Daphnia pulex: one gene and its partner. Each later gene encodes a partner of the first gene's protein in a complex. Links are inferred from orthologs where the notes say so. Each region holds a gene or a part of one and is shown on either strand. Other genes may lie near its edges.

Region 1 (4,806 bases):
AACATATGTGGTATGTAAAATTGTGGTCTCATAATTTTTTAAATGTTGGTAAAACAACCTGTTTGCTCTACAGGATACAGAATATCATGAACAGACTACAGAGTTAGCTCCTGCAGATTCTGAAAGAAGTGATCCATTATTAGATTATGCTTTCCAAGTGTTGTATGAAATAACATATAGGTGAGCACAATTAATCGTCACCCGTTAAGGCAATACATACAAACAAAAATAATTTAAATTTTTTATGAATATATATATAGTCCTGGTCACTTCACACATTTGTGTGATCAACTCATCTCTAACCTGAACAGTTGGCCAGCTTTGGATGAAAGTATGCTGCAGATATTAGTGGATGAAATCGTCGCTCTAGTAACTATTTTCTTTCTTATCATTATTTAAAATTATTAATCTGGTAATTTACGTTTAAAGGCTATTCGTGAACCTAATTTCCGGTATAACGGCGCAAGGCTTTGTAATTCAATTACTCGAGGACTACGAATTTCCGGTCCTACTTCTCCCGATTTTCGATCTACTCTTTTTAACAGGTGGTGATAAAATATTCAATGCTGAATTGAGATATGCATGAACCATATCTTTCAAAATTCTCATCTCAGATGTCGAATAATCCATGATGATCGAAAAAACCTGATGCAAAGCGATGCAGAGTATTTGAGGGGATTTGCTTTATTTATGAGCGAACTCTTTGTGCACATGAATCAGAAAGATGCGTCCAGCAGATTCCGCGTTTTAGGAAGAGCCGTTCGGGAGCTATTGCTGACTCTTCTAGAACATCCAACTCCTGGTAACGTCAAATGCGTCTGTCAAATTCTGAAGGTACTACAGTCGTTTAATAGAATCGGTTTGAAATGAAATTTGGTAAAATTTTTGCTTTAGTTATCGGGCTCTTACCTTGAAGACGATGATCGTGAGGCTAATAAAGGAAAAACCACCGAAATGGACCAACTGATGGCGAAGATTGAAACAGTCGGTCGCACAGTTGAAATGCAAATGCATATGAAAGGTTACATTTTTTACATAACTTTCAATTAATTAAAATTAATTATTTTTTTTTTTGTGTGTTAGATCTTCTTCTGAACATGATTGAGTTGAGAGGCAGTGACTGGGGTCGGGCACCGAGCTCCCCAGTGACTCGTGAAAGTCACACTGCAAGTAGTCAGCTCCCCAACCATCAAATGGGTGTGTATTATGGCCCTGACGGTCAAGCTCTAACTGCTGAGGAAACTGAGTTTCTTGACCAAGGAATCAATCGCCATGATGAGGATGAAGAATACGAGTATATGCGTTTTCAAAATGACGATTTTACATCTTATGACCTAATATTATTTCTTATCTAGGTATGCGTATGAAGAAGATACTGGAATGGATGATGAGATGGCTGAGGCATTTGAAAAATTTCTCATGATGCAAGACGCTTTGAAATAAAATTCAGTATATCGATCATGTTTTAAGGACCATTTCGAATGTGTAATTATTATGTTGCTGTCACTTTTGCTGATACATCAAAGTAGGGAGAAATAATAAAGTTGATACCCCTCCCCAAACTATGTTTTAGCCTGGATTTTATTGTTTGTAAAAGCTAGATAGATTATAGAGCATTACCACAATTTTCAAAGTGACAAACAAAAGGACAAGCATGTTATTTCATAACCAACAGATCAACCAAGGTCATTTTTAATCATCTTTCTTGTCAGACCCACCTTCTCCTTCTAAGACGGCCAATTTCTTTACAAGTTTACTGTGCTCTTCGGCGAGACGGTCGTATTCCCGAGCAACACCTTCGCTTTGTGATTTAAAGGCTTCAAGGTCTTTCACGGCTTGAGACCTCTCTGAAAAAGAAAAATCTTTATAAGAACGTCCATGATTTATCCCTACATTACAGACTCTTACCTTTCTTGGCATCAGCCAATTCTTTCTCCAAAAGGGAAATCTTTTCTTCAGCTTCTTTAACGTTTTCATCACTAGCGGATTTGTCTTTCTGGGACATTAACTCTTCCGCAGCCTTCGAAGCTGAAGTGGCCTGGCGCATAGCGGCCTCACTGGTTGCTGCCAAAGTTGCTTGAGCCGCAAGCAGTGTCATCAGACGACGAATAACGCTAGAAAATGTACGGAGTTAGTTGGGAACAGTAAATGGTCATTCAAATGATCAATACTTACAAAATCAAAAACAGAGAGAATCCAGTAATGTAAAAATTCCTTTGGGCTCTAAAGAGCACCATAGAATTTCGAAGTTCTTGCTCTAAATGTTGGTGTTGTTGTTCCTTTGCTTTTCCATCGTGAGTAACATCATACTTCCTCATCTCCCGAATAGCATCTAGGAATTACATGTGATTTAGCATTGCCATGGAAGTATGTCATATTATTTCGTCATAACATATCAGGCTGAGAAATTATGTGTTCTATATTACCGAATAAGCAGAGGACCAGGAATGCAAGGATGACATAGAAGTATATGTGAACTTGCTGACCTAGACCTCTGAGGAAACTTGACTTGAAAAGTTTGTTCCATCTTGGGGAGGAAAAAGAGAAAAAAAACTGATGTAAATGTTGAAATGGGTACACAATGATATTTTATTTACCTCTGAGCAGAGATGAATGGCAGAAGGAGTAGGAAAACAACAGCTATCTCAATGTAGAGAAAAGTTGCAATTAAACCCCACTGAAAACTCATTGTGGACTATTTATATCCTGAAACAGTTTTCAGAATAGTTTCACGTTATCCCATGTACACGAACACGGTAGGTATTACACAAATCAATAATTCCCAAAATAAACTTACGGCTTGTGTAGACAATTTCAGCAAAAATGTAGTTTCGTCAACGTTCGAAATAGCAAGTCATTCGTTTATGTCTCGTCGGATACTGCTGCAAGAATGCTAGTACAAGATTTGATTTCTTTTCCTGTTAAACAAAATTTCAGTGCAGGCTCGTGCAGACTACCTTCGCATGTGTTCGTCTGGTGTAAACTGAGAGAAAATCTTTTGATACCAACTTATCTTTACAAATTACAGTAGCTAGAGGCTAGGAGACATAGGTAATAAAGGCGGGGTTTGCTATGACGATGTCAGCGCCACCACATTACGGCGAGTCTTCTTATTGGCGATGACGTGTACCAAACAAAAATTGGCTGGGCTCCAAATTCAACTCTTTCTTACGTCTTTCTTCTATAAGATTTCGTGTTAAAGAACAAGTATTGCACTTTTTTTTAGAGTGTCGACGTGTCGTCGACCTTTTTATCTGATGAAACATGTCTCCTACACATCGCAGTGGTAAAGCTGTGACTAATAATAAAATAAAAAGAAACTTTTGGTCTCGTGTCCGCTTTCTAATTTTCTTATTGGTGCTACGGTTTCATTGCCGTATCATAACCTTACATTCGCAATAATATTTCATAGCAATAATTTCACGAGTTTCAATATAATACAGGAGATTTAAAGTGAATTGTGATCAAAGTTGTGAAATTACTATAATCATTCGACTTTGCAATAGGCTTTAGAAGATATTCGTAACATATGTTGGAACGTGACTTTGCTGCAGCCAATTCAAATCGTGCAGGGTTGAGCCATTTTTATTCACCAATTGAGTTATTGCGAGCGGCACGAAACGATGTAATCTGTCCTATAAATGGTATTAGGCTACTGTTTGCGGACGATGAAGGCCAATATGTTGACATTGATAATAATACAACCCCTCTCTCCCTGCATGTTTACTACGGACAAGCGTAACGCGCGAGTACTTTCAATTGAATTTCCTCACGACGCATTCTCTCGTGCGCATTCAGGGATTTTGCGACGTCGACTGAGTACCTACACCACTCCTTTAAAAATCCTAGGCTCTTTGCCGTGCGATCGAAGTCGTTTGGAAACATTCGATCAGCGGGCACCTACAGCTATCGTCGCCTATGGACTCAGTAGCGGATCGTGCTTCGTATTTGTTAGATGCTGTTATTAGTGGACATTATCGCCAAGTTAAATTCTATTTAGATGCTGGTTATGATCAAGATTACGTCGACATCCATCGTGAGGGTAAAGAAAAATGCTTTAAATTTAATACTGAACACTTTACCGCTATTTTACGACTGTTAACGAATAGTAAAGCAAAACTTTTATTTTACTGCATGGAACTATAGGAAGTACTCCTCTAATCCTGGCGGTTACACAGGTGAAGGACGACGAATCAATAAGAAACCGCTTAATTGTACTTTTACTACAAGCCGGAGCAGATCCAAACATTGGTGATCGGTACGGTATGACACCGCTAATGCACTCTATACTACGTCGACAAAAGAGCACTGTTCGCATTTTGCTGGAATCGGTAGAGATTCATATCGTTTCAAGTTCAGCTTAACAAATTACTGTTTAGTTTTATCACAGAAACGTTTGGATCATGGTATGGAAGACTTTGATGGAAACAGTGCACTCATGGTGAAACTTACATAAATTGATACTTTACATTTAAGCACGTTAACATTATTTTAAAATTTACAATAACATTCTATTATTAGCACGCCGCATCGCTTGGTTTAACCGATATAGTGACGATTATTCTTGAGCGGCTAAGTGCTGTGCATCGAATGATCTACCTCGGTTAGAAAAAATGCTCTCTTTGACTTTTCTTCCACTAATCGATGATTCTTGTTTAGGTCAGAAGAATCGAAAAGGTCTTACAGCTGGAAATTTGGCAGAAGGATTCGAAAAAAAGGAACTAGCTGATTTGTTGAGTTGGAAGAGCACATATTTTTTGCCGGACAACTTCGAAGGATTTGCTGATCCAAGACAACTCGAACAGG
Region 2 (4,431 bases), on another chromosome or scaffold:
CGATCCTCCGTCCAAATGTTTCGCGTACGAGTAGATGGAGAGAAAATAAAAGATTCCGCAGAGGAGATCCGCTCGCCCAACTATTCCGCTGACGGCTTCCGTGTGGACGGGATGAACCGAGAAAAGGATGGCCGTGATGAACGACAGCCTCGGGCGAGTTTCTCCCAACAAAGTTGAGAAGATCACCAGACTCAGGGTGCAGCAGATGGAATGGAGCAACACATTCGTCAAGTGAAAGGGCCTTGGATCCAGCCCATTGAAAATGTAGTTTAACCTGCACAACAACAACAACAACAAGGTCAATTGGTGAAATGATTCATTCAATGTCTCGTATAGAAAATACCTGAATGATAAAATGGTCAATGGTCGGTACGATTTGTGACTACTCTTGTGATTGAGTGATGTGCCCCAAAAGTCATTGAAAAATATTTCGTTGAGAGGAGTCTTGCCTTTAGCATCTTCGTTGTTTACTATTGCTTCTGTGTCGTCAAACACAAAGGACCCGTTTACTGAATTTAAATAGCACACTGACGCCAGGATAAAGATGATTGCACATCCCCATTTCAGAGAAACTTCTGTTTACAGAATTGGAAAAATGTCATTTTTCAACTTTAAAGAGTCTGAAAAATAATCAAGGCGATACCTGGACATATGAATAATTGTTGAGCAGCTGGTTTATGAATCGTTGATGTGAAATCTCTGTAACTGTTTACTTTGCCAGCGCCATTCTCGGAAACTTCTTTCGTGGCCGTCTTAGTCATTGCCATTGGAATATCATAATACTTTTGCTTTGTCTGGCCGCCTACTCTGTTGTCCCCTAAAACTACACGTAATTTTGTTGGCATACGCAGTTAACTCGAGCAAAGGTTACATGTTGCAACACATGAAAACATGTTAGATTGGCATATTTACACCGGAGCCACGGTAAGCCCGAAAGTTTTTCTACCCACAGAATCTGATTCTACGTAGCGAGCCCTCAAGGCTGCTTCTGTCAAATGTCATGTGTCAATCGTGTGTGTGCTACTAGATGTCTAGTAATCGGTTTCGGCAACCTTTTGTTGTGCGCATTTAGTGCGGCTTTAGTGTTTGTTTTTTACGCAACCAACGCACAATTAACAACACTAAATGTACTGTAAATCTGTAATTGTTCATTATACCTTTCATTTCTGATACACTAGAATTTCATGAAAATAAAACAAAAAGAAAGGAATGAAAGTATAATATAGTTTTCCACAAGAAAATTTTTATGATAGTGAAAATATCAACATTCAGATTCAACACAGCAGTTCAGCACATAACATAAATCTGCATGACAAAAGGGATTACAGAATAAGAAGTGTATCGTGGCATTAATGAGCGCTATCACTTCCTTGCCAGAGCTACCCCCAGTCCAATCAGACTACCCAAAGCCAATGCTGCTCCACCTATGATGGCAATGCCTTTAAGTCCCTCTGTTAATAATTATGAAAAATAAATAAATAAAGGGTTAAAAATATGAAGATGTGCACACAACAAAAGAACTTCATACCTCTTTCCATTCGTTTCTCAATGACATTTTTTAGAGTTCTGACCTGCCGATTATTTGGTTCTACTTGGAGCAGAACTTTGGTGTAACCCAAAGCTTTGCTGTACTCCTGTCAAATAACAAAAGCAAACAAACACGATTTTTAGGATAGATCAAAAATGTCATCTCTCCAAAGTGTAGGATAATTTATATGACAACTATGACATCTTCAAGTGCTAAAAGTATGATCATTTTTATTACCTTGATTTTGGCATTGGCAATGGCTAGGTAGTAGATGTAGTCTCTCCTGCCCTCATCATTTCCTCCTTTGGACAAGTCCTCCAAGAGAAAAATCCCTCGCTTGATATCTGCCTGATATTTACTCCTGATCAATGCCCAGGAATAATTGAACTGGATGTCTTGAGTTACTGTTCCCTGGGTCAAACTGTCGTGATAACGTCGCTCGAATTTCTGCCAAAGAGTCCAAACATTATAAATTGAAAATGACAATTGTTACAGAGTTACACGTACCTTCAAATCCTCTTCAGAAATACTTTCGTCTAGAACGTCCTCCATTTTGCTATTATTACCAATCAAATATTGAGCAATACACTGATGACAACAAGCTGAAAAACGTAGTCAGTCGGAATATCAGCTGATTTCCAGCAGACGGAATAGGCGGGATTTTCAAAAATGTTTGAAAATGCAAAACAGTTTTGATCAACGGATACGACCTTACTACAATTTAAAGAATAAAACAGTAATTAACTTTTCAAAAAATTTGTATTCAAAGTTTATAGATATAAATAATTTGTATCAAAATACATATATTGTAGCTGTACATTTTGCATGATATTTTGGTTGTGCCAGTCATAAGAAATGTTGATGATGATAATAAAATCGATATATATAATTCATATGGAGGCGATTTGACTTGACGGATAGTTGGAGCTGGTCAAAAGCTTTCGGTGGACGATGGGAATGGGTTTAGATTTCACTCCGTGAATCAAATGGGCGCTGTTGATGTGCAACAGACTCATGTCGGGCGTGAGTGTGGCGATGGAATCGACACTTCCGGTGCTGTTGTTGCCACTCGAGTTGCTGCTCCTGTCGCTGCACGAAGACATGGAGGATTTGCGGTTGTGCTGGTTGGCGAAATTCTTTTGCTGTTGGTGCTGCGATTTGTTGTTGGAATTGGCCGAGTGGTGGCGCGTCTTGGAGACGATGGCGCCAATCATTTTCGAAAAGGACGAAAAGCGGATCATCCGCGGATATGGAAGAACGTGCGAATTGGAAATCAATTGGCGAATCAACTTTTGGAAAACAATTTTCACTCCCCACTGTTGGCCTTCGTACTGCGGCTCGGCCGCTGAGAATTCGTCAAATGGACAACCGAATTCATCGGCTGCGGTTTGACCTTCCAGTCGCGACACCTGAACAAATTTCAATAAATTAAATTAAATGTAAATCCCTGGAATAGGAAAAAAATTCGACATACCTGTCGTCTGTGTTGGAGGTCGAGTTGGTTGGCCACCAAATATTTCGGCGAATGGAAAGGTAACCTGGACAGGATTTCACGAGCTCGATCGAAACTTTTGGAATTGGTCAGCGAATAGACGACCAGGTAAGCCATGCACTTTTCTGTGCCGACTACTGACGATAACATTTCCTCATCTTCACCAATCACCTTTAATTATAACCCAAAATCAATTAGCTTTTCAAATTGAAAATGTGAGCCGTGATGACGACTTACGTCATTGCGGGATGGCCGTGAAATGTCGAGAATGTCGACGTTGGTTTTCAGCGATCCTCCCATGTAAGCGAAAGAGTGGTGATAAGTCATGTCGGTCCCGGAGAAATAATCGCCGATGAATCGACTCGTCAGGTACTGAACTGTCAACGCTGTTTAATCAAATTTTGCATAAATTAATTCACGCCACTTATTAGCGCCAAATAAAAATTCAAAATTAACAAACCTGTTTTGCCAACGGCGGTAGATCCTAGAACGGTGACACACAATCGGTTGTTGTTATTTCCAGTGTTGTTGGTTTTGTTGTTGGTCGTCGTCGCTGATTTGTTGCCCAACGATTCCTTCATTTTCGATATGAAATAAAATTGGCGCGTGATGTTGGAGAACTGGGCAAAGTCGTGATTGGGTTTGATCGTCATCTCTGGATGCAGCCTCCCTTTTATAAGACTGGCCTGGACATGCGCACAGCATCAGCCGTCAACTGTTGATATCATCCAGCAACCAACCCGCAACGCAATTGACGGGAAATGCACGATAATCGTATTTGCCCTGATTTTATTTTACATAACCCTAAATCGATTCACAAGGAGGAAACAAACAAAATCATCCGAGACCTGAATTCAATCGACTGAACTTCCAAGTACCCGACATTTGCGTGTGTGGGGGAAAAATTGTTCAAGGTTTTTTCAGCGATCGAATTCGGTTATGTTTGGGATCAGATTCTCGGCTCATCACACAAGGCCGAAACTCTACAAGTTCGTGTCTGTTATACATACACATACAACAATTTGGCATTTTCCTATAGATAGGGACCACCATGTTTACCGACCAATACGTGAGAAAGTTGGCGAATTGATGGTCGAGGCCGCGGAGAAATTCGAGACGGTCCCTCATCCATCGCTCAACTTTGTTGACCTTTGGCTTGAACTGATCAAGCCAATAGATCCATTTCCAAATAGTCACGTTTTTCACGGCCCGTGTTAGTTGGGTTGTGCTGAAATAATCGACCCATTTCTCTGTCGCAGGGGCCAAACCCAAATGGAATCAAAGCAATTTGCAAAAATTCAGAACAAACCCAATAAATGTGTGTGATGGCCTAAAAATCCGATTTCGGCATCTTTTCATTAGCCTCAATCAATTATAAAATCAAAACAAATTCAGGCAAATGGGTCAGATG

The links. The genes of interacting proteins can lie anywhere in the genome.
Region 2: the proteins of B-cell receptor-associated protein 31-like (region 1) and mitochondrial fission 1 protein-like are in contact, whole or in part, in a crystal structure (PDB 8XWX), measured with the Homo sapiens proteins. The link is inferred for Daphnia pulex from reciprocal best matches to the Homo sapiens genes BCAP31 and FIS1. Residues at the interface, in NP_001132913.1 of Homo sapiens: Asp224, Leu227, Glu228, Ala231, Lys232, Ala235; in NP_057152.2 of Homo sapiens: Arg52, Val56, Glu59, Glu60, Pro63, Lys64, Lys89.

The regions. Positions count from the first base shown.
Region 1 is NC_060022.1:3,342,857-3,347,662, forward strand, and holds B-cell receptor-associated protein 31-like, read right to left. Parts: upstream 3,070-4,806; 5' UTR 2,798-3,069; intron 2,707-2,797; 5' UTR 2,690-2,706; coding exon 2,598-2,689; intron 2,528-2,597; coding exon 2,427-2,527; intron 2,333-2,426; coding exon 2,176-2,332; intron 2,115-2,175; coding exon 1,909-2,114; intron 1,848-1,908; coding exon 1,693-1,847; 3' UTR 1,464-1,692; downstream 1-1,463. Other genes in the region: polyadenylate-binding protein-interacting protein 1-like, read left to right, coding at 1-10, 74-180, 261-369, 430-545, 615-834, 895-1,021, 1,084-1,294, 1,356-1,443; ankyrin repeat domain-containing protein 34A-like, read left to right, coding at 3,919-4,042, 4,147-4,331, 4,391-4,441, 4,522-4,603, 4,660-4,806. UniProt on the Homo sapiens protein: Functions as a chaperone protein. Is one of the most abundant endoplasmic reticulum (ER) proteins.
Region 2 is NC_060026.1:16,281,251-16,285,681, reverse strand, and holds mitochondrial fission 1 protein-like, read right to left. Parts: upstream 2,184-4,431; 5' UTR 2,081-2,183; coding exon 2,036-2,080; intron 1,976-2,035; coding exon 1,766-1,975; intron 1,635-1,765; coding exon 1,529-1,634; intron 1,452-1,528; coding exon 1,363-1,451; 3' UTR 1,130-1,362; downstream 1-1,129. Other genes in the region: protein O-mannosyl-transferase TMTC4-like, read right to left, coding at 1-274, 344-575, 644-845; ras-related and estrogen-regulated growth inhibitor-like protein, read right to left, coding at 2,419-2,937, 3,003-3,191, 3,258-3,406, 3,481-3,673. UniProt on the Homo sapiens protein: Involved in the fragmentation of the mitochondrial network and its perinuclear clustering. Plays a minor role in the recruitment and association of the fission mediator dynamin-related protein 1 (DNM1L) to the mitochondrial surface and mitochondrial fission.